Pelodiscus sinensis: one gene and its partners. The protein of the gene in region 1 interacts with the protein of each later gene in a pairwise test. Links are inferred from orthologs where the notes say so. Each region holds a gene or a part of one and is shown in the gene's direction. Other genes may lie near its edges. The genes, in order: HOMER3, EAF1, FRYL and MOS.

The links.
Region 2: the proteins of HOMER3 (region 1) and EAF1 interact in binary tests that used the Homo sapiens proteins (3 or more experiments, as listed by UniProt). The two-hybrid records come from large-scale screens. The link is inferred for Pelodiscus sinensis from reciprocal best matches to the Homo sapiens genes HOMER3 and EAF1.
Region 3: the proteins of HOMER3 (region 1) and FRYL interact in binary tests that used the Homo sapiens proteins (3 or more experiments, as listed by UniProt). The two-hybrid records come from large-scale screens. The link is inferred for Pelodiscus sinensis from reciprocal best matches to the Homo sapiens genes HOMER3 and FRYL.
Region 4: the proteins of HOMER3 (region 1) and MOS interact in binary tests that used the Homo sapiens proteins (3 or more experiments, as listed by UniProt). The two-hybrid records come from large-scale screens. The link is inferred for Pelodiscus sinensis from reciprocal best matches to the Homo sapiens genes HOMER3 and MOS.

Annotation. Positions count from the first base shown.
Region 1 is NC_134729.1:19,308,824-19,316,256, forward strand, and holds the start of HOMER3 (homer protein homolog 3), read left to right. Parts: upstream 1-4,414; 5' UTR 4,415-5,034; coding exon of another isoform or gene 5,035-5,039; intron 5,040-7,433. UniProt on the Homo sapiens protein: Postsynaptic density scaffolding protein. Binds and cross-links cytoplasmic regions of GRM1, GRM5, ITPR1, DNM3, RYR1, RYR2, SHANK1 and SHANK3.
Region 2 is NC_134712.1:181,743,944-181,751,428, forward strand, and holds the start of EAF1 (ELL-associated factor 1), read left to right. Parts: upstream 1-4,471; 5' UTR 4,472-4,502; coding exon 4,503-4,605; intron 4,606-7,485. Other genes in the region: tRNA N(3)-cytidine methyltransferase METTL6, read right to left, coding at 11-145, 2,939-3,220. UniProt on the Homo sapiens protein: Acts as a transcriptional transactivator of ELL and ELL2 elongation activities.
Region 3 is NC_134715.1:87,080,017-87,087,776, forward strand, and holds the start of FRYL (protein furry homolog-like), read left to right. Parts: upstream 1-4,743; 5' UTR 4,744-5,294; coding exon 5,295-5,493; intron 5,494-7,760. UniProt on the Homo sapiens protein: Plays a key role in maintaining the integrity of polarized cell extensions during morphogenesis, regulates the actin cytoskeleton and plays a key role in patterning sensory neuron dendritic fields by promoting avoidance between homologous dendrites as well as by limiting dendritic branching.
Region 4 is NC_134712.1:64,407,325-64,414,084, forward strand, and holds MOS (proto-oncogene serine/threonine-protein kinase mos), read left to right. Parts: upstream 1-4,855; 5' UTR 4,856-5,003; coding exon 5,004-6,053; 3' UTR 6,054-6,238; downstream 6,239-6,760.

The DNA of each region.
Region 1 (7,433 bases):
CTAAAATGTCATCTAAAATGTCTCAGTCTCCTTCTTTGGAGAACGGTCTGAGTTCTCCAGCAGTGAAATACCCAAAGAAATTGCTGTGCTCTCTTGCTCTCTCTGTCTGGTGCCAGAGGCATGCAAAGAATGATTGAATTCTACTGCTTCCTTTTCTCCTTCGAAACATATATATGGCTGCATCTAGACTGGCAAGTTTTTCCTCAAAAGCAACTGCTTTTGCAGAAAAACTTGCCAGCTGTCTACACTGGCCGCTTGAATTTGCGCAAGAACACTGATGATCTCATGTAATATTGTCAGTGTTCTTCCACAAACACTATGCTGCTCCCGTTCGGGAAACAGCCCTCTTGCACAAGAGGGCCTGTGTAGACAGCTAAAAACTGTTTTGCGCAAAAAAGTCCCGATGGCAAAAATGGCAATCAGGGCTTTCTTGCGCAAAACCGCGTCTAGATTGGCATGGACGCTTTTCCGCAAAAAGTGCTTTTGTGCAAAAGTGTCCGTGCCAATCTAGACGCTCTTTTCCACAAATGCTTTTAATGGAAAAACTTTTCCGTTAAAAGCATTTGTGGAAAATCATGCCAGTCTAGACGTAGCCATACAGTTTGCGTTCTCCAGTTCTCAAGTTGCCTTAGCAGCAGAAGTTTCCAGACTTAGGTTGAACCCACGTCTCCTGGGCAGGTGCTCTTTCCTGCCACACTACCACATCTGCTTAAAAAGATAATTGAAAAAGATGTCTAGAAACCAGGTGAATGCAGTCTAATGACCTATATAAATTACATAGAGAAAAGACCAAATTATTTGTTGTTTAAAGCTTCCTTCACACTACAGGTTAAAGTATTTTTACACTAACGCAGAATGCCAATCTCTCCTTTTGAATGCATCTTTTATTCCCTAAAACATCTATTTTACAACAAGGACCTCTATTTGCACACCAATTGTGGCCAGCTATTAAAATTTACTAAACATCCAACAATGCTCATGTTCCCAGATTTATATTTGGCAGTTTTGCAGGTGCTAATTAATAGCAGTTTGCACTTTTCAAGGAAAGAGCTAATGGTGGGACTAGCCATCAGCCTTTATTAAGTAATGGAGTTAGAGAGTAAGAAGATTTTACATAAAAAATGTAGAACTGAAAATGAGAAGGCTGAAGAGCTGCTGCAAAACCGTGATGCTAAGTCCTCTCTGATTGCAGTCACCCATTGTAGCAATGAAATGTAAAGAACTAGTTTGAAGGTATGTATCTTGGACAGTGAATGTGCTTTGAAAGGGATTATACTGCCATTAAGAATACCCTTTAAGTTTAGGCAGTGATCTGTTGTGTGCTCTTGTCTGTGTTCTCAGCCACTGTTTAAAGAGCTGTGGGAAGATTAATGGTGCAAACTTGACAATGGCTGGGTAATTAATGACATGAGGGGGGATGATCAAAATATCTAATTTCTGGTCTCTTCTGAAGGGCAGAAGATATTAATTGTCCTCCTTCAGCAGGAGAAGGCGCAAATGGAACAAAAACCCTGTTAAAGGACATCCTTACAAGGTTACTAACACCTGATTTTAGTGCAATTCCTGCTGATCTCATTACCCTAATTTTAACATGTAAAATAATTAGCTTCTAAGAAGAGCCAGAGATAACCTACTGTTAGCAGGTCAGTATGAAAAATACTGTGTGTCCTACTTTCAGCAGAGTCTTCAGTGGTTTATTGTAGTCCCTTTATCATTGGTGGCCAGGTTGTGTGTATGAAGACAGAGAAAATGGAGTAGAAGGAGTAAGGACCCAATTCATTCATGTCCTGGTGTTGAACTTGGCTCTGGGCCTGAGAGAGGAGGCAGTCTGGGAACTGCTGGTTAGTCTGCCAGCTCAAGTTAAGAGAGGCATCAGAAACTTTTCACCTGTTGCCACAAACTTTCTGACAGTGACTATTCAAGGGTCCACTTGCAAAATTTCAAAATGTTCCCATCAGTTCTAACACTTGTTCAGCTCCACTGGTGTCAAATGTTGGGAGCTCTGGCATAGAGGTATCATTGGTTTGCACTGCTATTTTAAGCATTGCATTATCTCACTTTTCTCAGAAAAGGTCTAGCTGTAGTTGACGTGATGGTTAAAACACTGGCACGTGCTTTGTCCCAGCACTGTGAATGCTGGTGACAAAGGATGAGGATTCTAGATACATTTGAAAGGCAGGTGGAGGGGATAATAGAGAGAGGAGGGGACCAGCATCAGTACTGTTGCAGTATCTAAAGGTCCGAATTAGGCACCTGGCTACATTATGCTAGGCACTCTGCACAAATATAACAAAAAGTCCCATGCCCCAAAGAGCTTACAGTCTTATCTAGGGAAAACCTCCTGTTTGTCATCCTTATATAAGCTCCATCTAAATACTGCTCAAAGAACAGCTGCTTTTCCTGAGTTTCCTGGGGAAATGACATGGGCACAGCTTATCATTATAGTGCAAGCCTGCAGTGCCCAGAAATTATGAGGGCATGGAAAGTAAAGTTCAGAACTGCCTGGAATTAATGCAAACTCTTTTCCTTATTAATGTGGGCGACCTAATAAAATACAAGCAAAAAATGAGATTGGACTCGTGCAGTAGCCACACATTTGAACACCACAGCCAATCTGCTCAGGTCAGGCCTGCTGTTAGACTAGTGGGAGGTTGAAACACCGTGGTAGTGCCTTTTGTGGGAGCCCTGTTTGTGGCATTGCTATAAATCAAGGCTGATTGGAAGAGCTGTGTTCATTGGGATGGGGAGAAGCCCAGGAATACTGTCTTGCTGCAGTAAATGTGAACATTTGCACAGCGGTTGCCTGCTCTAGTGAGTGCATGTGCTCACACACTCAGACCCAGGTACAAATGTAGCTGCCAGAATTTAATGGGCAAAGTATCTACAACAGACCATTGATTCTCCCCACCCCATCCACCTCCAGTGTAGCTGGTACTGTTCATGGCGAGATGTGATTGACTGATTTATGTTGGTCCCTAAGACAGAAAAACAGTGCCTTAAATTTTGCTGACATAATGTAGACTTACTGTAACTGTATGTTCCTTATTAACAACTTGGAGACAAATATATACCCTGTGTTGCTCTGCTTTGTGTCTTATCATTTGCAGTGGCACAAAGGAACAGGGGTCACCAAATTAAATTAACAGGTAGCAGGTTAAAAGCAAACAGGGAATTTTCTTCATGAAGCGCACAGTCAACCTGTGGAACTCCTTGCCAGAGGATATTGTGAAGACCAGGACTTTAACAGAGTTCAAAAAAGAACTAGATATAAATCCATCAATATTTATTAGCCAGAATGGGCAGGGACAGTGTCCCTAGCCTCTGTTTGTCAGGGGCTGGGAATGGATGACAGGAGAGGGATCATTTGAGGATTACCTGTTCTGTTCATTCCCTCTGGGGCATCTGACACTGGCCACTGTCGGAAGACAGGACACAAGGCTAGATGGACCTTTGGTCTGACCCAGTCTGGCCGTTCTTATGTAACGGGGATGTAAAATGTTGCCCTTCTAATCTGGTAGCATTTTGCACTGGCACAAATGATTGCAAAAGGTACAAGTCACCAGAGAGCTGAGCACATAATCATCCAACTATATAGGGCTATGCTCATCCCTGGTGTAATGCTGGGGAAGTCCGTGGACTTTCACCTGGGGAGGGTCTGGCCCATTGTGTTTGAACAGCACTCAGCACAATAGCGTCTCAGTTCTGATTAAAGCCTTGAGTATTCTCATAATAGGTATGTTTGCTGCAACTGCTAAGCTACTTATTATATGCATTAAGATATTTTTAATACCGTCTAATCTGTTTGCATCCTTGGGGCCTAGTGCTTCTGTTTGTCTGTCTCCATCTCTAGATTCTGGTGTGTTTATCCATCCAACCTTCCCTTTTGTTCATACATTTTCTCTAGAGGCCTCTGTCTTCATTGCTTCAAACCTAGTTCAGCTATTTTCACCTGTGCAAAGTGGATGTAAAATGTAACCAGATGTACATGCCAGTGTTTCGCACTCGCCCTGCACAGCTATAGATGTCAGTGCAAGGAACAGAGCAATAGTGGGATCAGGCACTGTCTTTCGGAAAGGTTCTGTCTCTAGGCTCAGATAAAAGGTGTCGGGTTTGTTTTTTAAAACGTGTGCCAACATGCTTGAAAATGCTAGTCTAGAAAGAGCAAATTGTATTTTAACATGGACTAGCTGACCAAACAACTTCCCTCCTAGTCTAGACAAACTCAGAGGCTGTGTCAGATTACAGCATAGGGGTCAAACCCTGGAAGAAAGCCCAGGAACGAAGGCGGTGGGAAGTGGGGTTGGGGCATCTTTGTGTGGTGCTGGTAATTTAGCTGCTTGGTGTTACTGTGGGTGCACAGTACAGCTGTGCCCAGCAGATGGTGCCTCTGAGCCAGATGGAACCCATTGGAAATAAAGTCAGGAGAAAGAAAGAGAAATGTGACCGAGATGGGGCAGTTGGCAGAGGCAGGAAGCGGATAAAAAAATGAGAGAGAGAGAACAAAGAAATCGCGATCGAGAGAGACAAACTGTGGACACAGCTTCACTTTTCGGGCTGTGGAAAAAACTTACAGAGCAACTCCGTCGCTGGAATAGGAGGGAGGCGGCATTATTGCAAAGGGTTAGCAAAAGGAGCAAATAATCTTGTGGCTGCTGCCCATGCTGAAGGGAAGAGGGGATCCCCGTCAGCAAGATCGAGGAAGAAACTGCCTGCCGGAGATTGCAACATTTCCGTAGCAAAGTGTGTTCCAAAGTTCTCTCTAGGATCTCCTGGGCTGTAGCTCTTGGTGGGGAGATCTCCCACCCAGGAAGGTTGCCCTAACTGTCACCCCTCCCGTGCATGCTTTGGGATTATAGGTCATTTTTGTTCAAACAACAAAACTAGCGGATTTCAAAGTGAAATTCCGGAGGAAATTTATAGAGCATCCGGATCCGGAGAAAGAGAAGAGGAAGGGAAAAATAAATAAAAACGTGGAGTGAATCTAACACGATCCAAGAAGAGACCAGGAAAAAAAAACCTGACACCGACTTGGAGATGGGGTGAGATTAGCAGTTTGGTGGTTGTGTTGTTTATTGTATTCATGATGTATAAAACGTGGTGTGTTTTTAATATAGCAGAGTCGAAGAGATCAGGATTTCCAATTGCAGTAAAGAAATTCAAGTTTACATATAAAAAAAGGCCCCTAACCTTTCGGGATTCAGGATGTAGATAGTTGCAGAGATTTGTAAATTACTTTGTGACCCAGGATGTGGCTGGAAGTCTCCAGGGGAATGCATATGTTGTATACAATTCAGAATGGCCCTTTGGGGTGACATAAAGGACCTACTGCCTTTGCAGATGTTTCCAGAAGTTAGAGATTTCTGATTTTGTTTTGCTCTTGTGACCTCGGTATTCAGTAAAATGGACCCAACTTACATTTCTAAGTGGGTAAATAGTGTGACTGAAAAATCTCTGATCATAACCCGTAAATTCTTTCGGGGTGAAATATATTCAATCAGGCACTGGCATAGAAATGGAAATGTAGCTTGATATTTGATTATGCACTGGTAATAACCCCAACTGTGTAATTTTAAGGATCTGGCATGCTGCTGTGAGTAAGTTGCTTGTGTAATGAACACTTCTGGGCTGCTAAGAAGCACGCTGGGGCTGGAGGAAGCCCCTGCCTGTTCAATTTCTCCAAGCCTTTGAGTTTGACATTAGAGGAGAAATAAGTAACAGTTTAGTGGTTTGTGTTTCTTTTGCTGGGTTTTTATTTCTCTCTTGGGCAGCCGGATAAAAAGACTGAACAGGGTGAAACCGATTCAGATGGCAGGAGGGACATAGATACGGATTCTGATCTCAGAGTCTCAGTGTGAACCTAGAGTAAATCTATTTAAGCCAGTGGCATTTATACTTGGCCAAGTTAGATCAGAAACAGTCCCCTGTTTCTTGCAACTGCTGTGGCTACACCCAGTGGCTATGCAATTTCTTTAGACGGGTGCCACTTCTCATGCATAATGTTGACGCTGCGGTCATTGTGAGGGTAGTTTTAGATTTTACTACAATGATAGCGTCAAGGCAGCAATGCTATAGTTCATGTGCAGATGACATTCCTCCCCGCCTGGTTTTCTGTCACAGAGAACTTCAGAGCTGGAAGGTCTTTGTCTTGTGCATAGATTTACATGGAAATGTTGAATAACCAGCAGCAGGTTTAGTCCCCTGGATTGCTAAGGGAGTAGGAAAGCGGTAGCTTTGAAATGATTTTCCACCAGTCAGTTTTAGTTGATTTGTATTTTAAGCTAGCGGTCAGTCGTTCCCACCCCCCTCCCTTTTGACTCTGAACACCTCATGTGGTCAGATTTCCTTGTAACCCTTGTCCCAGTAATATCCAGGGTGTAGCTTTCATGGATAATTCATTCCTGAACTCTAACATATCCCTGGTGTGTGTAGGTTTTGAAGCATTGCCTTTTCACCTTTAAATAGCTAGCTGTAAATGTCACTTGGGTCACAGGAGAAGTGAATTCATTTACCTCCTAGCTGTGTCCATACTGGGCATTTGGGTCCACATTTCAAACTAGCATCGGACAGGCTCCGGAAATGCTTAGTGTTGGCTGCTGGGCGTGTTTCGGGAGACCTGCCAGTGCTGTCCAGGAGCAATGCTGAAAACAGTGAAGTCAGAGCTAAAGTGCATTGGCAGAGCTGTGCAGGCTTCCATGTGTGTGCCCCTGTTGTACAACGACACATGAGCAGAAACGTGGTGGAGCCCAGTGGAGTGTTCACAGATGGTAAAGACTGGAGCAGCATTAGCAATAGGTGTCTGGTAGAAATGCTTAGCAATGCTGCTGGGCCTTTAAGTGCCCTGGTTCCCTTCCCCAGGCCTGAACTTGCATGCCTGGCATTGTGTTCCTCAGGCTAATCCGACTGGGGCATAATCAGCCAGGATTCCTCCGGAGCCTTTTATCTACAAACAGGCTGGGAGAGAGTCACTTTCAACCTTCATGCTGAGCTTTGCTGGTTAATTTCACCACCACAGTGGGTGGGAGCTTTCTAGGAGGGACAGGCTGCGCTGCTCCATTCATCCACAGGGATGGGGCCGGGTTGCGGGGAGGAGGCAGGGAGGACTGCAAGTCCTGTGTCTCTGCACCCCATCTGGCCACTCAGCTCACCATTGCATTCCCACAAAGTGGTGGTGTGCAGGATGGCTCGGAAGTGAGCTACAGAGCTAAGAGAGCTTGTGAGCCGGAAGAGAAGAGGCAGTATCTCTTCTGGTTAAAGCAAAAGGCTGGAAGTCAGAACTCCCTGGATAGCACTCCCAGATCAGGAAGGGCATGTGGTCTAGTGGCTAGAGCAGCCAGGCCCTTAAAGACCCGCTGGCTGAGCCCTGCAGAGACAGAGCAAATTGGGTTGTTAGCAAGCTACACCCTGTTCACTCACTCCCATGACTAACCCAGGAG
Region 2 (7,485 bases), on another chromosome or scaffold:
TCACACCAACCTTTACATATTCAACAGCTCTTGGAGAGAAATCACAGGCATAAGCAAAGATATTCAAGTCCTCTTCTAAAAGTGGAAACAAGCAATTTCCAACCCCACAGCCTGCTTCAAGCATGGTCAGTTTCTCATCTTCAAACTATATGGGAGAAAGAGGCCAAGGATACAGCATGTCACTTGTGTTTGATCTTTATATTACGAAGATACCACTTTTCACACTTTAAAGTTAGGATCAGCATTTCAATTATCCGTCTAAAATCTGATGGAACCTGTCACTCGCAAAGGGCACAGCAAAGTATAGGCTTTCATTTAGATCACAGTAAGTTTCTCTTTAGAAACTACTAAAAACTCATTATTGATCTACTCATTTCAGCAGTGATCAAATTAGCAGAAACCCTCACCATTCGTGGTATATACAAATGGCGAAATTTGCAAATACTGGGAGCTATGGACCCTGGCTCCTGGGGGAAGCTCCCCGTGGCTCCCTAACAGGAAACTCACCATGGCTCCCGGCACCTCAGCGAGTTCCCCACAGCTCTTGATCACACCATCCCCTTCAGGTCAGGAATGGAGACCCCATGAATATGCGGAACCCCAGAGAGCAATTCCGCGAATCACGAGGGTCTCCTGTATGCTTTCCTCTATGCCCTGGCCCTTTTGTAAAAAGGGTGAACAAATGCATTTGAATATGATTTTTTTAAATGTATATTTTAATGCTTTGACTATTCTAGATAGTCAACTTTGTAACAGGGTGCAAAATTTTGAGCAACTTGTGTTGGAAAAGAGAGAGAGAGAGAGAGAGAGAGAGAGGATCTTAGATCTAATTTAGGACACTAAGCAAGTGTTCTAGAGCAGTGGTTCCCAAACTGTGGCGTTCAACTCCATAAAGATTGCAGAGCAACATATGGCAGGTCCCAGGTGAGTTGAGGAGAGAGCATCACACTGCCTTACTCAGCTCCCCAGCTCCTCTCCAACCAGGGCCATACTTAGGATTTATGGGGCCCTATACAGTACTATTAAACTGGTGTCTCTATGCCCAACAGCATTTGGGGAGGGAGATTTCTTTAGACACATGGTTTTAAAATCTTCAGCAGCACACTAACATATTTTTATAGAAAATTTTAAACCAAGATCCTGTAGACCAGGGCTACTCAACTTTGGAAGCCTCAGAGGCCACAATAATACAGCACATGCCGAGGGCCGCAACTTAAGTGTCGTTGCTTATACATGCAAATTGCTTCTTTCACACGGGTTGGCATGAATACAAAGCACTTCCCACATTCCCCAGGACTCCCGGCACCTCCTCCCTGGGGGCTAGAAACGCCAGCCCGTCCGCTTGCATCTTTCAATGCTCACCCCACCTGGCAGACGCCTTGCCATTGTGGAGCGTGTTCCCAGTGGAGGTCATGTTCAAAGATTCCCACCTGCAGGCCACGTGTTGAGCCCCGCGTAAACCAAAACTGCACTGCAGGCCGCAAACATACAGGCCATGGGCTGTGTGTTGAGTAGTCGTTCTATAGACTCACACAGTACATTCAGAACCTGACAGTACATACTAGGGATGTGGAAGTTTAACCAGTTAACTGGGAAGCATCACCCTAAATTGGGGGGCAGGAGTAGCTCCCCATCTGTTGTGGGCAGGGAGCTGCTCCAACCCCACCGGGGGCCCATCGTGGACACAGTCGGGGAGCAGTCCCTGTTCATGGGGAGCCCAGGCACCCCACAGGCAGGGACTGTTCCAGCATCCGCAGAAGCCTCTGTCCATGGGGGAGCCAGGCGCCCCACAGGCAGGGGTTGTCCAGAGTAGCCTCTGAGGAGCTCGGGCATCCCACAAGCAGAGCTGCTCTGTGAGGGCTGGGTGTCAGCATCAGCCCCAGCCCATGTGCAGGGGTAGTGAGCTGGCAGATCCAGACCCAGTATGATGCTGGGAGTGGGAGCCCTGTAGGCTGGGGGCTGCGCCAGCCAGGCTGCAGTGGTCCCCAGCCCTGATCTCACTTTAGTCAAATAACCAATTAAATGTTAGGCTAACCTAATGTTTAACTGATTAAGTGGGATTTTACATCTCTAGTATATACCTGGGGTTGGCAAATGCCTATTTAATGGCTTCATTATTATCTGAATGGCTCTTTCACAGGTTCAATGTGCTGCTAGTAGGTCTGACATGCTTTTTCACTTTTAAGTGAACTATATCCTCTATGGAAGAAGTAGAGCCACAGAAGAGGAATAGGAGGAGGCAGTGGGTAGACATTAAGAACCAGTGGTGACCCAAATTTTCAGGTACTCTACACATCTGTGTATTCTAAGTATAGGTAAGGATGGGTCAGTCTCCAAACTCTGCCCCAGCCTCCATTCCTAGCCACAGCTGCTGCTCCTGGCTTCCCCCACAGCCATACCCGTGGTCCAAGCTCCACTCCCACTCCTGGCCCAGCTCTGTCCGATTCCCTCTCCAATCCTAAACCATGTCTGGCTGTAGCCTCAAGGTCCTTTCCCCTTTCCAATGCTGCCCCCAATTTTGCCTTCCACCCAAGCTCCTCTGCTGAGTCAATGATGCAGTAATGTGGGGTAGAGAGAGAGTGTGGACAAATTCGATTACTGGTAAGGGGAGGCACAATAGGAAACGTTTGGGATCCACTGGTCTAGAGAGTGGGTCTGAATGTAAAATACAGATCAATTATAATATATTATTCAAAGATTTTGTAATAGGTTTTGGTTTTTTTAACTTTTGAAACTTTCAGTTGGGTCTTGACGGTGCCTCCTCTTGGAGACAGGGAGGGGAAAACAGGATGAAAGGACCAATCAAAAAACTCTTCAATTTTTTTATATCTTAAAAGTCATGGAAGCTATCAACTCCACAACATTGTGCACTTGGGGTATGTCTACTTCATTAGTAGTATTTGTTCCTTTATTTGTAGAATTAGTGTATATGGCTCACCTCCCGACATGCTTTTAAATCTTCAAACTCCCTAGTTGTCCAATGCCGATCTTTAAAGAAGTTTGTGCTGTTTCTTTTGTAAAACAGATCCCAGTTCTTCTGTGCCTCCTTCTCTAGTTTCAGTTTTTTGAAGTCAGACACCAAAACTTGCTCTCTTGCCAGTTTCTCAGCTTCTTCAGAGCTAAGGGTCCTTGCACTATGCCCTTTCTTTTGGAAAGCATCATCTTCACAAATTGGAGATACTGAATTCACATAATTATCAGATGTATTTTCTTGGGACATCCTGGATTAATCCACAGGAATACAAACACAACAGATTTAAAGTGGTTTTTTCCCCCCTCATGTATTTATTGCCATCTTTCATTTCAGATCAGACAACCTGGAAACATAAGAAACAATGAGAAAAGAATTATAGTTTGCAGTTCCTGTACCAGAGACTCCTCCCCAACCTCTCCCCCCAGGCAGCCGTCCCCCACTTCCTTCCCCAAACCCACCCTGTACCAGAGACCCCCCCGCCCGCCTCCCCAAACAGCCCCTCCCTGTACAGAGACCCCCCCGCCCGCCTCCCCAAACAGCCCCTCCCTGTACAGAGACCCCCCCGCCCGCCTCCCCAAACAGCCCCTCCCTGTACAGAGACCCCCCCGCCCGCCTCCCCAAACAGCCCCTCCCTGTACCAGAGACCCCCCTCGCCCGCCCCCCCAAACAGCCCCTCCCTGTACAGAGACCCCCCCCGCCCGCCTCCCCAAACAGCCCCTCCCTGTACAGAGACCCCCCGCCCGCCTCCCCAAACAGCCCCTCCCTGTACCAGAGACCCCCCTCGCCCGCCCCCCCAAACAGCCCCTCCCTGTACAGAGACCCCCCCGCCCGCCTCCCCAAACAGCCCCTCCCTGTACAGAGACCCCCCCGCCCGCCTCCCCAAACAGCCCCTCCCTGTACCAGAGACCCCCCTCGCCCGCCCCCCCAAACAGCCCCTCCCTGTACAGAGACCCCCCCGCCCGCCTCCCCAAACAGCCCCTCCCTGTACAGACCCCCCCTCGCCCGCCCCCCCAAACAGCCCCTCCCTGTACAGACCCCCCTCGTCCGCCCCCCCAAACAGCCCCTCCCTGTACGAGACCCCCCCCGCCTCCCCAGACAGCCCCTCCCTGTACCAGAGACCCCCCCGCCCGCCTCCCCAAACAGCCCCTCCCTGTACAGACCCCCCCTCGCCCGCCCCCCCAGACAGCCCCTCCCTGTACGAGACCCCCCCCCGCCTCCCCAAACAGCCCCTCCCTGTACAGACCCCCCTCGTCCGCCCCCCCCAAACAGCCCCTCCCTGTACAGACCCCCCCTCGCCCGCCCCCCCAGACAGCCCCTCCCTGTACGAGACCCCCCCCGCCTCCCCAAACAGCCCCTCCCGCTCTCCTAGCGCGGACACCGAGTCTTGCCCCAAACTCCGCCCCCTCTCCCGGTTCCTACCCGCGCGGGGCGGGGCGGGGCGTAGGCCGGGCCGGACGGCTTTGGCGGTGACACGCGGCCCCGGAAGGGAGCGGAGCGGGGCGGGCGGGGGATCCGGCGTGGCGGGGGCATGAACGGCTCGGCGAACCCGCTGCTGGACAAGGAGGAGCACGCGCTGCAGCTGGGCGAGAGCTTCGAGCGGCGGCCCAAGGCCTCGTTCCACACCATCCGCTGTGAGCGCCCCCCCCCTCGCGGGCACCCCGCCCCGCCCCGGGACTCGCCCCGCCCCCGCACCCCCCCCCCCCAGTGTCACGTTCGATTAATCCGCTAATCGAGTAGTCGATGGAATTTCCATCGGGACTGGGCTAGTCGCTCAGGGGGCGCCGCCCTCCCCCGGCGGCTCTTGCCCGATTGGAAGGAAGAGGCGCAGCGGGGACCCTGTGGCGTGGGCGCTGCGTCCATCCCTGCTCCCACCTTCACCCTCGCCTGCCTCTGCCCCTCCGCGGAGACGGTGCTGGGGGAACGGCTTTTAGGTTTGCTGCCCCCAGCACGGCTCCTGCTACCCCCCCCCCCCCATCCCTTGGTGCCTCTGATATAAGCCTAGGCTTTTTCGGTAGTCAACTAGTTGCTTACATTCCTTACCCCCCCCCATGTATCTTCCTCCTTAACCTACCCAGCTCCCCTAAATCCTCTCTGAGCCCTAGCCCCTCACTCTCCAGTTTCCCCTGCCACCACCCCAACTCTTGCGCACACCCCTTACCAGCTCCCCCTCCACTCTCTCTGCTCCCCTTTCCTAGGTTCTTGCCAGTTCTGTGGAAAGCAGCAACTTTCCGTTACAAATTTAGAGGGAGGGGGGGAATAAAGTGAGGTTAATCTGAAAGTAACTCAAAATTATGGGAAGGGGAGAGCGCATGCGCACAGAGGGCAGCGAGCTTCTTAGTGAATGTCAGATCAGATGATGTATCAGTTTAAATATTATACTGTGAAAGATGCAGGACTATGGTTTCACCTGAGAGAGTCTGAAAGAGGGAAACCACAGCCACCCAGTTTCTTAAGATTTATTGAAATGTCTATCAGAATCCTTCAATACAATGTAAAGAGCACAACATGTTGTCCCCTATTCCCTCCAGGAGGAAGCCTCTATCTCTGGATGAGTAATATTTAGCCAGTCTGGAAGATGAGTTTTGAAAGTTTTCAGATGATACCAAGTTTGATAGCTAAGTTTGCAGATACCACAAAGCTGGGAGGGGTTGCAACTGCTTTGGAGGTTAGGGTCATAATTCAAAATGATCTGGACAAATTGGGGAAATGGTCTGAGGTAAACAGGGATGAAGTTTAATAAGGACAAATGCAAAGTGCTCCACTTAGGAAGGAACAATCAGTTTCACACATACAGAATGGGAAGCGACTGCCTAGGAAGGAGTACTGCAGAAAGTGATGTAGGGGTTATAGTGGACCACAAACTAAATATGAGTCAACAGTGTGATGTTGCAAAAAAAGCAAACATGATTCTAGGATGCATTAACAAGTGGGTTGTGAGCAAGACAGGAGAAGTCATTCTTCTGCTCTACTCTGCACTGATTAGGCCTCAGTTGGAATATTGTATCCAGTTCTGGACACCACATTTCAAGACAGATGTGGAGAAATTGGAGAAGGTCCAGAGAAGAGCAACAAGAATGATTAAAGGCCTAGAGAACATGACCTATGAAGGAAGACTGAAAGAACTGAGCTTGTTTAGTTTGTAAAAGAGAAGATTGAGAGGGGACATGATAGCGGTTTGACAAGGTTTCACAAGGAGGAGGGAGAAAAATTGTTCTTCCTGGCCTCTGAGGATAGAACAAGAAGTAATGGGCTTAAACTGCAGCAAGCAAGGTTTAGGTTGGACATTAGGAAAAGTTCCTAACTGTAATGGTGGTTAAACGCTGGAATAAATTGCCTAGGGAGGTTGTGGAATCTCCATCTCTGGAGATATTTAAGAGTAGGTTAGATAAATGTCTTTCAGGGATGGTCTATAGTACTGGGTACTGTCATGAGGGCAGAAGACTGGAGTCGATGACCTCTTGAGGTCCCTTCCAGTCCTAATATCCTATGATTCTATTTTCTCAGAGTGCTTCAAGCTTCTCTGTTGGGGAAAATAGTCTACTTTTGCTCTTTTTTGCCTCTTACTATTAGGGATGTGAATGTTTTATCATTTATGTTTAACTGGTGGGAGCTGGAGCCTGGGAGCCTCTGTAAATGGCAGATAGCCTTATCTAGCAATAACATATTTGAAACAAGTTTTTACTAGGGGGCTACACCCTCTGCTCGCTGCGCTCTCCTACCCCCCTCTCTCTGGCTACTTTTGCTTTGCTTAGAGAGCTTGTTGACGCTGATTATGTCATTTTGTCACCCAGCAGGAGCATTCTGTCATCCAGCAGGAAAATCTTTTTTATATATAGAGAAAGATTTGTAATTCAAAGATTCAAAAATATACCCACCATTACCTCAAATGAGCAAAATTAGGCTCTTCTAGTGATAGAAGTCCTAGAAGTATACAGCTAAAAATACATTGGGGTTGTATCATTCTCACTTGCTTATAAGTCACTTTAAAGGACAATATCTGAAAGGATGAAGACAGTGGATCATATCTTCAGGAGAAACTACAGCTTTTGAAGTATTTAGAATGTAGTCATAGTCTGAAATAGCTTCAGATCAGATTATGCACTTTCTAAACTAGAATATTTTTTGTGACCACTGGACCTGAAAATTTAACCTGGGATCAGTTATACTGATTTTCCCTCCTTCCGGCATACCACTGTAAGATCTTATAGACCAAAATTCTTCTCTCCTTTATAACATCCAAAAACTCATTTTCATCATCTCTTGGCTGTGAGGTTCTATAGTACTTGGACAGTTTTATATGCTTCTTAGCATATATGCAGTGTCTTAGGTGGCACGTGACCAGGATCCATGGCCCCTTCCCCAAGTCTGCCACTGCCGCTGCTGAAACTGACAAGTGACAGAGCAGAGCTGCTGGGGTGCTGCCGGGTTGATCCCGCAACGCCACCGCTCACCCCCCTGTTCAGCTCCAGGCAGCACCCCAGCTGCTCTGCTCCGCCCTGCCGCTTCCCCAA
Region 3 (7,760 bases), on another chromosome or scaffold:
TTCTGGGCACCACATTTCAAGAAAGATGTGGAGAAATTGGAAAGGGTACAGAGAGGAGCGACAAGAATTATTAAAGGTTTAGAGAACATGACCTATGAAGCCAGGCTTCATGAACTGGGCTTGTTTAGTTTGGAAAAAAGAAGATTAAGGGGGGACATAATAGCGTTTTCAAATATCTAAAAGGGTGTCACAAGGAGGAAGGAGAAAATTAGTTCCTCTTGGTTTCTGAGGACAGGACAAGGAGTAATGGGCTTAAAGTGCAGCAAGGGAGGTTTAGATTGGACATTAGGAAAAAATTCCTAACTGTCAGGGTGGTCAAATATTGGAATAAATTGCCAAGGGAGGTGGTGGAATCTCCCTCTCTGGAGATATTTAAGAACAGGTTAGATAGACATCTGTCAGGGATGGTGTAGACGGAGCTTGGTCCTGCCTTGAGGGCGGGGGGCTGGACTCGATGACCTCTCGAGGTCCCTTCCAGTCCTAATCATGATTCTATGATTCTATGTATATTTATTAAATGCGGTAACACTGACTATTTGAAAGAGGATATAGATGTTGAGAAGGTTCTGGTTTTTTTGGTTCAACTGTGATAATTATTTTCATTCATTTTAGATTGTAAATACAGGCAGTCCCCGGGTTACGTACAAGATAGGGACTGTAGGTTTGTTCTTAAGTTGAATCTGTATGTAAGTTGGAACTGGCGTCAGCCGCTGCTGAAACTGATCAGTTTCAACCGTGGCTGAATCTGGATGCCAGTTCTGACTTACATACGGATTCAACTTAAGAAACCCAGGCGTCCCCAAGTCAGCTGCTGCTGAAACTGATCAGCGGCTGATTCCAGGAAGCCTGGGGCAGAGCAACTCTGCCTCGGGCTTCCTGTAGTCAGCCGCTGGTCAGTTTCAGCAGCGGCTGACTTGGGGACGCCTGGGACAGAGCAGCTGGGGTGCTGCTGGGTTGCTCCAGTAGCGCGGCTCCTCGGCGCTACTGGAGCAACCCAGCAGCACCCCAGCTGCTCTGCCCCAGGCATCCTGATTCAGCCGCTGCTGAAACTGACCAGCAGCGGCTGAATCAGGATGCCTGGGGCAGAGCAGCTGGGGTGCTGCCGGGTTGGTCCGGAGCGCCGAGGAGCCGCGCTACTGGGGTAGACAAGAAAAGCCTGGTCTGCGGAGGAGGGGGGGGCACTAGCTGCACCCCCCCCCCCCAGCAGACCAGGGAGACGGGGGTGGCGGGACCGCCCAAGTCCTCCACGGCTTTGCTCCGTCTCCCTGGTCTGCTGACCTAGGAGATGCGGCTGTCCCGCTGCGGGCGTGCTCCGCGGCTTTGCTCCTGTCCCCCTGGTCTGCTGGGGGGGGTCCAGCGGCTTTGCTGGACCCCCCCAGCAGACCAGGGAGACCGGGTGAAGCTTTTCTCGCCCCGGAGGACACGGGTGGCGACCCGCCGCCCGTGAGCTCCGGGGCGAGAAAAGCCCCGTTCGTAAGTGGGGATCCGACATAAGTCGGATCCGCGTAAGTCGGGGACTGCCTGTATATAGCTAAGGAAATCCTAGGTGCTTTTATCTTTTGAAGAATGCAGGTACAATTTAAATATTAACATTTCAAAGGTTTCCTGGGACAAGTCTACAAAGAAGCCCAAGTTCTGTAGCAGTGGTTCTCAATCAGAAGTTTGTGTACTCTTGGGGGCACACAGAGGCCTTCCAGGAAAGGTACATCAACTCATCTATGTATTTACCTAGTTTTACAACAGGCTCCCCATCCCCCAACTTGTTCCATTTTTTTATCCTACTTTTGACTCCCTCCACCAGTTATTTAGGATCCCTCCCTGTGTCCTTCCATACCCCTTATGTGTTCTTTGCCTATACCCTACTGTATTTCATCTTTTAGAAGTCAGTTCTCTTTCTCCTAAATTGCAATGCAAGAGCTTAAATGGGGGGAGGAAGGGAAATCAGGGATGCTCTCCCAAATTCCACTTGTGCCAAATCAATTTCCTGTAATACCTTTTGAGAGATGTTACTGTATTAAGATCTTGCTGTATCATTATGGGTTGGGATTGTATGTAATTCTAAGGGAGAGAACAGTCTGGTGATTAGGCAAATTGGCTCAGTTTGTAACATCCTCAGAGAAGTACCACCACCTGGAGATTCTCTCATATATTATAGTACATACTGGATTCTCCAGAGCGCAACAGAAAAAGAAAAAACTGTTGAATAAGTAGCCTGAGTTTCAGCTGATTCTGATTCAGCAAACAGAACCTTCTGTGCCAGAAGGTCCCCAAATCCTTGCAGAAGTATTGGAAAATTTGATTTAGGAAGGCCACAAAACAGATGATGCATGGAAAGCTTTTTAGTATGTGTGTAGGTTTTCATTGTTTTTAATGTTTTTCCTGCAATGCTTTCAGTTTAATAAATGTGCTAGCTTAGAAAAAGCTGTGTGGCAGCCTATAACTGCAGGCAGTGTGGTGGTTATAGCCACTGGGGAGAGAACCAATAGGAAGATGTTTGCCTTTTATACAGTTGGCTTTTTTTATGCAGTCCTCTCCTGACAGGAAAAACAGAAATCCTCCATTAGTCTTAGCTTTATACCTCATAGTTTTAGTTAGTTTGACCTTTTTCAATGTTCACTTTGTTTCCGGGGGGGAAAAAACCCGGCACCCACCGTGGTGGCGCAGCTTTTTGTCTCTGCGACAATGCCAGGTTCTCCTGGCTTCAAAAAATGTGATTCATGCAGAGACTCAATGCCTACCTCAGAGGGCTATGCCTCATGTGTCAAATACCTGGCAGAGTCTCAAGTGGCGCAAAAGTGCCCTTGTTGCCTGAATATGACGGCAAGGGCCAGAAAAGACTCTGAAACATGGCTCAAGACTATTCTCTAGGAAAACTCTCTTCAGTTACCAAGGAACAAACTAGATGAGATGCCAGCACAGCAAAAGCTCTCGGGTAGGGCAGCTTCCTCACCCCACAAAGGCTCTCAACACCGGCACGCTCCCTGTTCGAGCTGCCTAGAGCCTCTCATTCCCTGATGCCACCAGTCTCTGGTACCATGGAGAAACGCAAGTCAGTGCCAGTCAGGAGAGCTGAGGCACAAATTAAGACTGCCACATCAACTGGTGCCATTGAGGTAGCAGCTTCAGATAAGCTGCATATGCCTCCTCCATCAGCTCCGGTGAACTCTCCCTCTGCACCCAATCTAACTGGGCAGAGTGATTTTGACTGCTCTATGGCACCGCAGCACAAGAAAGCGCTGCACAAAACGTGGCACTTATAAAAATCTCCTCAGCCTGAATCAAGAGGAGTAACTGCCTCACCATGCTCCATGGCGCAGGGGCACGCTAACACTTCAGAGTGGCCCCAACTTGCCTACACCACTATCTCCAAGATCTGATTATGGTAGCGGGCATAGGAGCAGGCTCTCATCACGCCATTCCTCTCCTTCTCTATCACTAACTTCCTGGAATTCATACAGGAATCACTCCCTTCAACCACATCCTATTTGGCCCAGCCAACCATGGATGTTTCCTCCACATCAGCTCCTACCTCAGTGGAGCCCGTGGGATACATGGCATGGATATCAACCGTGGTCCTCCCACACTTACCATTCAAGGCACATAGCCTCTACATCTCAGCAACACCGCACCTCCAGGCGCTCATCCACAATCTCTGATTGCTCCTCACCTGCTTACCTGCCCTCAGTAATTTCTCAGGCAGGTTCCAGTGAGTATGACAACTTACTTCAATCAGATTCAGAGACCTCATCACATAAACCCCGATCCAGGCAGGTGGAAGCAGTATTCCAGATTTCATATTCTCCCCTGTCAGATGGGTGGAGTGGGCAAGGGCTGCATGTAACCTTGCATGTTACCCGATTAGCCCAGGCTCATTTGTTAACCATGTAAACAGTTACGCTTAGTAGAGGGCATGCAAGTAAACAGAATGGTCATCCTGCTTTGGTCATCCTAAGTAGCAAGCAAAGCAATGTGGGCTACCAGGTGACAGACACGGCAAGTGCACATCAGTTGTTTTGAGATGGGGATGCATTTACACCTACTTTGCTGCATGTAAGTTCATCCCACATCTCTATAAACTCACTTCAAGTGGCTTTTATAAAACCTACTAAAACACCAAATGATTTTATCAAAAAATAATTTTGTGGACACAAGGCAACTTAATGTGAAATAGCTCAAATTAATCTGCAATAGTTTCCAAGTATAGCTAACACCTTAGTTTTAGTTATTTGGTAATATCTGTATAATCCGTTATTACATTGTGAAACCCAGAAGTCAGTAGGTTTTATTTTATGTAGCCTATTTTGTATGATTTACTGTGTGAGAATTTCTGTGAGGACTAATTTTAAAGGCAAGTTTGAGGGGAAAAAAGATAAAATAAAATACATTATAAAATAGTTTTGTGTACTTAAAATTAGAATTTTCGTGGGCGAGATAATTTTGTTAATCAGGGTTTGAAAATACAGCTTGGCGCCTGAGCTGCTTTTTGTCAGTAAAATCTGCTTCTAAAAATGTCTAGTCTGATCATTAATAGACATTCAAAACAAGAAGCAATGTACAAATAATTCTTGAATGTTGTGGTATTTTCTTCATAGTCACAAATGGGGTAAAAACCAACTTCACTTGTGTGTTTATAGATCTCTAATTTTAGTTTTAAATGGTTTGATGTCTTTAATTATTTGCTGATTTTTATTCCCAAATGTAAAAGCGTGGAATAAAGAATAAGAGGTTTTTCTGTGTGGTAGCATAAGCAAATGTTAATGCACCATTTGCAAAGCTGTTCAAGAATGTAATTTGTTCAAAGCATGGAATATTTGAGCTGTTAGTAACTCTGTTTGTAAAGCTGAGAAATGGGTTTCTAAATGATAACACTTATCTGTGAATGCAGAAGTATGTGCCTCCCTGTGCACTTAATTGAAATGAAGAGCTAATTAACTGTCAAAATAAATTTGCATTTTTAGATGTTTTATAACATTTTGGTTTAAAATCATGGTAGTGTTAAATATGTTTTTGTTTTGTGGCAGTTGATCAACTCTTGTATATTCCAGTAACTTAATTGCTTATTTTGTTTTGTTATCAGTCTGTACAGTAAACTGTCTTTGAAATCAGCCTGCCAGCAGCTGGCAGCTGACCTGCTGGTTTTGGCACCACCCAGGTTCAGCATGACATCACTGTGTAAAGTAGCTCAAGTAGTCCACCTTACTGATTCTTCAAGGAAGTTTGTACAAGCACCTGGGTGTGTGTTATGTAGCTAGTCTAATTCGTGTTGGGGAAAGTAGACGGAACAAAACAAAAAAATGGACTTTTTAAAAAAAGTAGTTCCTGCTGTAATTTCTGGAGATGTGGTACTGGATATTGGAAATACTGTTGGAAGTTCCCCAAGGCTATTGAAGATGAGACGTGTCAGCCTGTTTTCGTTAGGGCAGACTATAGATGAAGAAGATCAGATAGATTTCTCACCTTCAAATTACAGCATGTATCCACAGCACCAACTTGGTAAAGTAAAACTTCATTAACTATTGTAAACTTTTTCTCTGATGAAATAATCTGAATTGTTGTTGAGTATTAGAAAAGGCTTTTTTTCAGAAAGCCATTACGATTGTGGATGTTTTTCTTCTGTTTTAATCTATAGTTTCAAAAGTGTTTAAACCAATAGTTAATATTTTGTGAAATTGTTTAAATAATATCATAATTAAGGGTGTATTGTGTGAGTATATTACACATGTGCATGTGACTTTTAACTTAAGACGAACATCCATTTTCAAAATAAGGGTTTGGAACATAAAATGTGGCCCTGATCCTGAACTAGGAGATGCACAGGATTCCCATGGCCTTTGGTAGAGATCTATGTGTATGTAGGGGTCAGCTTACATGATTCTCAGTGCAGAATTCTATCCTTATACCACTTTTGTAAACTTTGTATTTTGTGTGCTTTCATGCTATTAAAGTCTCTTCTAAAGTATTTTTTAATATATTTTTTTAATGTTTTTACTTGAATAGTATGTGGACTAGTCCAAATTTCTTAAAAACATAAAGAATAGTTTACAACGTACTGATTTTTCTGTTGTGTATAGAACAACTGTAAAGTTGAATCATATTTCTTTTATATCCTTTAAAAACCTGATTTGTTCATAAAATTATATACAAAAAGATTTTCCACAGTACACATGCAACATGTTGATCGGTGTTTAAACATTATGCATTTTATGTTTTTTTAGAGATTAAATAAATTTTATTTACGTAGCTGTTTCAGAGGGTATATGGTTGAAGATTAGTTTTGGGAAGCAATTCAGGGCTTGATGACTCTTTCTAAAGCTCTAAACGGTCTAGGACCCAGCTGGTTATCACTCTTTTTTTTAGCTTCTCCCTCATTCCTGGTCATAGCAGTTGCAATCAGCTGCAATGCTCTGTGCTGTTCAATCCCAAGGGTTGAATTTCTAGGGGTGACAGTACCCTCTGATTGTAGGGTCCTCTGCTCTGAAATTTACCTCTTTTTGTGTTGTTTCCCCCCCCCCCAAAGCCTTTCAGACATAGTGTAAAATACTGGTTTGGCTTTAAAAAAAAAAAAAAAAAAAGTTACCTTGTGTTGGTGGATGGAAGCTAAGAATCAATTTTTTGTTTTGTTGGCCAAATTGTAAAAGTGTGTAATAAATTTGAATATATCGCTTGCTGTACATGTAACGTCATCAGCCATTGATAACTTATTAAAGGGTAAAATTCTCTTCCTGTTACGGTTGCCAGATGGTTTCAACAAAAATACCGGACACACTTGATATTACATCACAATCTACATTACATCTTATTTAGAAAATACTGGATATTTATATTTTCTCAATTTGTTTCCCAATCAGAAAGCTCAAATACTGGACTGTCCAGTTCAAAACCGGACACTTGGCAACCCTGCTTCCTGTTGCCAGCATGCTTAAGGATAACTCACTGGAAGTTCTTTTTTGAATGCTGATCCTATCAGTATTCACTGTGGGTGTGCTTATGCTCTATGTTCCTAGGGCCAGAAACTTATAGCAGCATTTATTGGTCCAAACCTGGGCCCTTCTTTTTTCCTGGAGCTCTAAACTGAGGACATAAGGGATGGCACAGTGCAATCACCTCTCCAGTTCTTTTCTATTGCTTGTAATCTGGGATGGAATCCTTCCATGTGTGGCATTCTAGCTTTTAGCTCTTCTGCCTGTTTGTATTTTGCAAATAATTTTTATTAGCTATATTCATAGTAGTGAGTTTGTGGATAGTAGGAATCATGGGCTTCGTCCTGTTCCCTCACTGTTTGAGGCACTTTAGAATGCCCAAGACTTCTAGGCCTGCCTGGCTTGTACGTGGGTCTTCCTGGTTAGTGATCAACACAAGAGCTGATTGTACTGCTTTGGGGAATAAAGATTGTATCCGACTGAGAGATCTGCCACTCGTATCCTCCTTGCCCTAGAGGCAGTCTTGTAAATTTCAGAATCCATAGGCATGAGGCGCGGTCTTGCCTTGGACTCTGCTACACTTCGTCTTATTATCTGGAACCTTCAGACACTGTATTTGCAGCACCAACATCTTCTAACTTGGGATCATCTAGATCTACGTTTCTCCTTGTCCTCTTCATGTCTCCATGTCATGGAAACATCCTCTTAAAAAGAGAGACAGTTTACTTTTTAAGATGTTTCAACTGGTGCCTGTTCCCTTCCTGCAGCACCTGTTGAGACTCTGTATCTTGAATTGTTGTGTTCAGAACTCCAGGGAAGCTGAGACTGGCACTGATTGTA
Region 4 (6,760 bases), on another chromosome or scaffold:
AATGGAGAGAGAATTCTTTGGGGGGAAAATACAACAAACCATACACAAATTGTCTGAATTCTAAATGTCAATTTTGTACTAATTTGTTTGAGGCTTAAAATATTTCAAATTCATCTTAAGTACTTCTCTACACCCACCAACACTAGTGCATATTAATAAAATTCCATCACTACCCAGAGAGAGGACATTTGATCATTTTAAAAAATATATTTGCTGATAACTATAGAATCACTAGTGTTTCATGTTTTATCTGGGTCTGTTGTTTAGACTGTAATGTAAGCTCTGCTGGACTGGGACTATTTATTTGCTGTTTGTCTTGTACAGCAACAAGAACATTGTCAGAATTTAATTGTAATAATAAAATAAATTTATAAACATTAGATATGATAGGATAAACTCCAGTGTTCATTGGGGCTGATCCTGCATTCCCTTTGCACTTGGAACTCTTGCTCATTCTTAAAGGAGGTTTGTGTGAGCATCAAATGCAGTATCATTTGTTGCTTTTTAAAAATATTGCACTTAAGGATTGACCTTGCAGATGTAAAAAATCTTGCTATAGTTATTTCACCTGTGTTATACTGCAACTCTCGTGTAATAGGACGCACTTTACAATATTGTCATTTTAAAGGGGAACTATACAACCCTGACTTTAAAATCTCTTGTTATGTATCTGGTCCTAATGACATTTCAAGAGTCATTCAAACATCAAGCTGACGTTTCATTGATGCTTTTCAGTTGATGCAGCTTCCTCTCTGTTTTGTGTGACTAGAAGAAGCAGCCATTTGTTGGTGGTCTGGTTGTATTTCCTTTTCACATGCATAGGTTGCTATGTAAGGTGGAATTGCATGGGATAAAGTAGAACTGCTGTACTGGGAATTTTATTAAATAAAGGGGAGTGCACCCCCTCCTGGTCAATAAGGATCATGACACCAGATACAGAAAATGGTTCAACGCACATTCCTGCTAGTGCATCTCTTTCTCTCTTCTGAACTTGGGTAACTGAGAACCCCCAACAATGAGGGGCTTGGTGCATTAAATATAAAAAGACACTCTTCAGTAATGTGTTGTGTAATGTATTGTGCAGTGTTAATTGTGTTATACGAAAATCAAAACTATTAAAAATCTGTTTCCCTTTTTAAAAATTCTGCTTCATTTCCCCCTTCCTTCCCCTGCAACTGCTGTCATGCACAAGAATTAGTTTCCTTAATAGAAGACACATTTTAGGACCTAAAGAGTTTAACCTTATATGCTTTTATTACCAAAATCCAATAGAACAAACACTTATAAAGACATACAAGTTGCTTTCTCTGTGTGTTCATGTTTAGAGATGAAGGAACATAAAAAATGTGGAAAACATAGTTCTCTAACATCGCTACAAGCAAGTGACACCGATGACAACTGCAAATTGGAGAAGTTAGTGGAGGTGGAAAGACCTGAATCATCAACATCAGAGCAGAAAATCCCTTATAAAATCACTTTGAAAAGGATAACAGAGAGAAAATAGTGCACTGTTTGAAAGGTGCTTAACCAGAAAGTGGACTGTGTTTAAATGAGTTGATGTAAAGAAATTCCAGTTGACGGTGCCCTTTAAGTTATTCCTCCTGTTCCTCAGGCTAATGCTTTTCCTAGCACAAAAACCAAAAGTTCGAGTTTTGCTTGTTTGTTTGTTTGTTTTTTAGAAAGGTGTTGCATGCCTGCAGTGACTTTTGAGTTCAACATGATGTGGCCATTAAGTACCTCCAAAAAACAGAAACATGGAGATGGGGGGGGGGGAGTGGAAGAATAACATGAGAGGGGAAATTCTCATTGCTGAGATAGAGAATATTCTTAATAGGGCCGTTAATGCATGTGATTAAAAAATAATTGACTAATCTCTTTTAATCACACTTAAACAATAGAATACCAATTGATGTTTATTAAATATTTTTGATATATTGATTTCAGTTACAATACAGAACTGCTCACTTTATATTATTTTATTACAAACATTTGCATTGTAAAAATTATAAAGAAATAGTTTTCAGTTCATACAAGTTCAACTTAGTTCATTCAGTTCCTGCAATCTCTTTATCGTCAAAGAGTAACTTACAGATGTAGATTTTTTGTTAAATAACTGCACTCAAACCCGAAACAAAATGTACATACACTTTAAAGCCTACAAGTCCATTCAGTCTTATTTCTTGTTTAGCCAATCGCTAAGACAAACAAGTTTGTTTACATTTATAGGAGACAATGCTGCACACTTCTTATTTACAATGTTGCCTGAAAGTGAGAACAGGTGTTTATAGGGCCCTTTTGTAGCTGGGGTTGCCAGGTATTTATGCGCCAGATACACTAATGTCCCTTCCTGCTTCAGTCACCATCCCAGAGGATATGTCTCCATTCTGGCGATGCTTGTTTAAAAAAAAAAGTGTTAAATTAAATATTGACTGAACTCCTTGGGGGAGAATTGTATGTCTCCTACTCTGTTTTACATGAATTCTGCCATGTATTTCATGTAATAGCAGTCTTGGATGATGACCCAGCACATGATTGTTTTAAGAACACTTTCACTGCAGATTTGACATGCAAAAAAAGTACCAATGTGAGATTTCTAAGGATAGCTACAGCACTCAACTCAAGGTTTAAGAATCTGAAGTACCTTCCAAAATCAGAAAGGGACAAGGTGCAGAGCAATACTGCACTATGCACCCCCCTGCGATCGCCCCCCCAAAAGAAAATCAGTCTTCTGCTGGTAGCATCTGATGAAAGTGAACATGCATCAGGCCACATTGCTTTGGATCATTGTCAAGCAGAACCCATCGTCAGCATGGATTCATGTCCTGTGGAAAGATGGTGGAAGCATGAAGCAAATGAATCCTTAGTGCATCTGGCATGTAAATATCTTATAAAATCAGCTATGATAGTGCCATGAGAATGCCTGTTTTCACTTTCAAGTGACACTGTAAACAAGAAGTGGGCAGCATTATCTCCTGCAATTGTAAACAAACTTGTTTGTCTGAGTGCTTGACTGGACAAGAAGTAGGACTGAGTGGACTTGTAGGCTCTAAAGTTTTACATTGTTTTCTTTTTGAGTGCAGTTTTTATATATGATTCTACATTTGTAAATTGAATTTTCATGATAAAGAGACTGAACTACAGTATTTGTATGAGATGAACTGAAAAATACTATTTTGTTTTTACAGCATCAGTATGTAATCAAAGATAAATATAGTGATCACTGTACTCTTTGTATTCTGTGTTTTAATTCAAATCAACCTATTTAAAAATGTAGAAAAGATTCAAAATATTTAAATAAACAGTATTCTATTACTGTTTAACAGCATAATGAATCACGTTTAATATTTTTAATCATTTGACAGCACCAGTTCTTAATTTAAATATTCCTTTATATAATCCTCCAAACCTCTCATGCAGCATTCAAAAGGGCTGGAGCGCACAAAATCTACTAGACTGTCGTCCCCCCTCTCCTCCCGCAAGGCTCTGGTGTGCAAGGGAAATGTGGAGAACCCTTTCCCATTGGGGACCGCCTCAATGAGAGGTGGTTTTTTTCCGCTTCTCACTTGTGTGAAGCCCCCTGACTGACTTTTTTGTGGGTCAGCAGCCCCTGACCCAAACAAGGTTGCCCATCCTTGTTTTAACCACTGGGCCACTTGTCTTTCAGGATATATTGCTCTTGGTGCAAACACTGTTTTCACTGGCCTATAGAACTGCAGTGGTAGAACATGATGGTCTCCCAAGGAACGTAATCACAACAAGCACGTACGCACATCTACAGATAAAGCACACTCCAGGACTTGATGCAGCAAAGACAAAACTAAGTCTGTAAGAGAGACTTCTCCATTCTCTTTCTCCTGGCCACATGCTGCTTCACACTTCATCTTCTCCCTACTTTTCCACTGCCTCTTCCTCCCCTCTTGCTTTTCCCCCCAAGCTCCTATCTACTTCATCATGCACACTTCTGCCTCATCATACCCACAACTTTCACCCTCTGCTGTCTTGTCTATATTATCTATAAGCTCTTTAGGGTAGGAAAAAGTCTCTTACCCCCTTTAGATTTATGTTAAAAAATGACATTTTCTATAATCTGCTCTGCCCTTAGAGCAAGACTGAGTGGTATGGCCCTGGAAGCTGACAGTGTGGGGATCCCTATTCTAGGGTGCCCTGACACTTTTTAAATGCACTATTATCGACATCTATAATTCCCCAACAAAATCTAGATTCCTATTCCTTTCTCACATTGCACCCTTTCACCATCATCATAATTGTCCCTCACCAAAAGCAGGAAAAAATGACAGGCTTTGCAGCATGCCCCAAAGACATAGCATTAGGATATTTTGAATGAAAATATTTCCACTGAGGTCAGTGGGCACCAGCCTCTTATCTTGTATCATGAGCTCAAAAGTGGCTTTACTAACCAAGTAGGACATGAGAAGGGAAAGGTAATTTCACAAATAGGGAAGCCATCTTTGCCACCAATCATTCTCTTAACAGACTTCTCAGTATTGGCTTTCTCAGTTTCAACTGCTTCCTCCAGTAATAACTGAGAGGTGTTTAATGCACCTGGTGACTATCATTCTTGCCAACAGTGAAACATTTTACTTGGTCACTGTAGTCCATTCACTCATGGGATATTTTCTAATGACAGTCAGTTGGGGGTACTTGAAGTAACATTTTCTCCTGGGAAGAAAAATGAATACAAAAGGCCAGTATCTCATAATGTGAGTTGACATATTTTAGCCTAAATCCCATTTGTATCAAAGAGCTTTCTTTAAAAGCCTTGATTCGAGTGGAATTTGCTTTTGGAGTTGGAGAAAAGTGTTTGCAGCTGAAACTGATTGGGGTTCAGGTACTTGGTGACAGATGCAGCTTATTTGGGAGGAGAGAGGAGGGGGAATAAAAGAGGCTCTGGAAACAACTACTTTGTTCCTCTTTTTCAGGAGGCTCTTAGCCATTCTTTCTTTGTTTTTAAATACAGCTCTTGTTCTTATTCCTATCTCACTATGCCATCCCCTAGCCCTCTTAATAGTTTTCTTTCCCTGGAGTTTTCCCCTTCTCTGGACCTGAGGCCCTGCAGTAGTCCCCTGGTACTCCCTGGTAGAGGCGGAAAACTCTTCTTGGGGGGAACTCCGCCGCCGAGGGCTCGTCGGCTGCCTCCCCGCCTGGCATGGTGCTCTATAGACTGGGATCAATTGTGCCTACTACACCCCTTGGGCTCTGGGGGCTTTGGGGCCGTCTACAAGGCTACTTACCGTGGGGAGACGGTGGCTGTGAAGCAGGTGAAGAAGTGCAGCAAAAACCGGCTGGCATCACGGCAAAGTTTCTGGGCTGAACTGAATGTGGCCCGCCTCCTCCATGACAATGTGGTACGTGTTGTAGCTGCCAGCACCTGTGCTCCTGCCAGCCAAGACAGCCTGGGCACCATAATCATGGAATATACTGGCCGCACTACCCTCCACCATGTCATCTATGGTATGGGCTGCCTGCGGGGAAAGGGAGAGGATGAATGGGATGGGTGTGGCAGAGAACCCCTAAGCATAACTGACTCCCTGGCTTATTGCTCTGACATTGTGACTGGTTTAGCCTTCCTCCACTCACAATGCATTGTGCACCTGGACCTGAAGCCTGCTAATGTGTTCATCACTGAGCAGGGTGTGTGCAAGATCGGAGACTTTGGGTGCTCCCAAAAGTTGGAGAATAGTGTGTCCCCAGGTCCCCAGCTTTGCCAGCAGGGGGGCACATATACCCACCGTGCCCCTGAGCTTCTCAAAGGGGAGAGGGTCACACCCAAAGCAGACATTTATTCTTTTGCTATCACCTTCTGGCAAATGGTTACCCGTGAGCAGCCTTACTCGGGTGAGCGCCAATATGTGCTCTATGCGGTGGTAGCCTATAACTTGCGTCCTTCTCTGGCTGCTGCAATCTTCTCTGAGACAGTCTCAGGCCAAAGACTTGAGACCATTATCAGTAGTTGCTGGAGATCTGATGCAGAGGAACGTCCCAGTGCAGAAATGCTGCTTCAAAGCCTCCATTCACTGCAAGATAGACAATAGCAGGTTCTGTGGTGTCTCTTTCTTCTTCTTTTTCCCTTTTATGCCTGGCTTTTCTCTTGATCCTTTTTGTGTGTGTGTGTGTGGCTGCATTAGCATATTGTGGATCTGACCTCTATTTTGTCCAAAGAGGTTAAAAAAAATGTACCTGTTGATTGAGATTTCTATAAATAAAGTGATTAAAATTAGCTTGGTCAGTGTTGAGGAAATACATAGAGGCAGGACTGTCCAAAATGTGTCTGCTATATCATCTGCCTTGCCCAGGAGAAAACAGAATTTTGGTTTTGAACTATGGTATTTGAGGGGTGAAGTATGACTGTTAAGCCACCAAAAAGCATTTTTATAAATGCCTCAGACCAGAGTGATAGGCATCTTGTAACAATCTAGCTAACTATTTGCAAAATGTGAGATGGAGGCAGTATTTTCAACTGCCTCTGAAAATCTCTTCATGTATCTGTCTATTGATAACCTTCCTTCTCATTCCCAATTCTCCCAACAGATACGGATCATACATCCTATAAGTAGATGTACCGAGAACAGTCAGACATTGAAGATAACCTTTCTTCCTCCACTTCCCCAAATGTCAATTCATTTTATGTGTGATGAGTTAGGAATAAGGATGTTGGGTCACTTGTGTGCCTGTTTAGCACCCTGGCAACAAAGTAAGATGGTTTTTCATCAATTTAAGTTCTTAAAGATAAACTGACTCT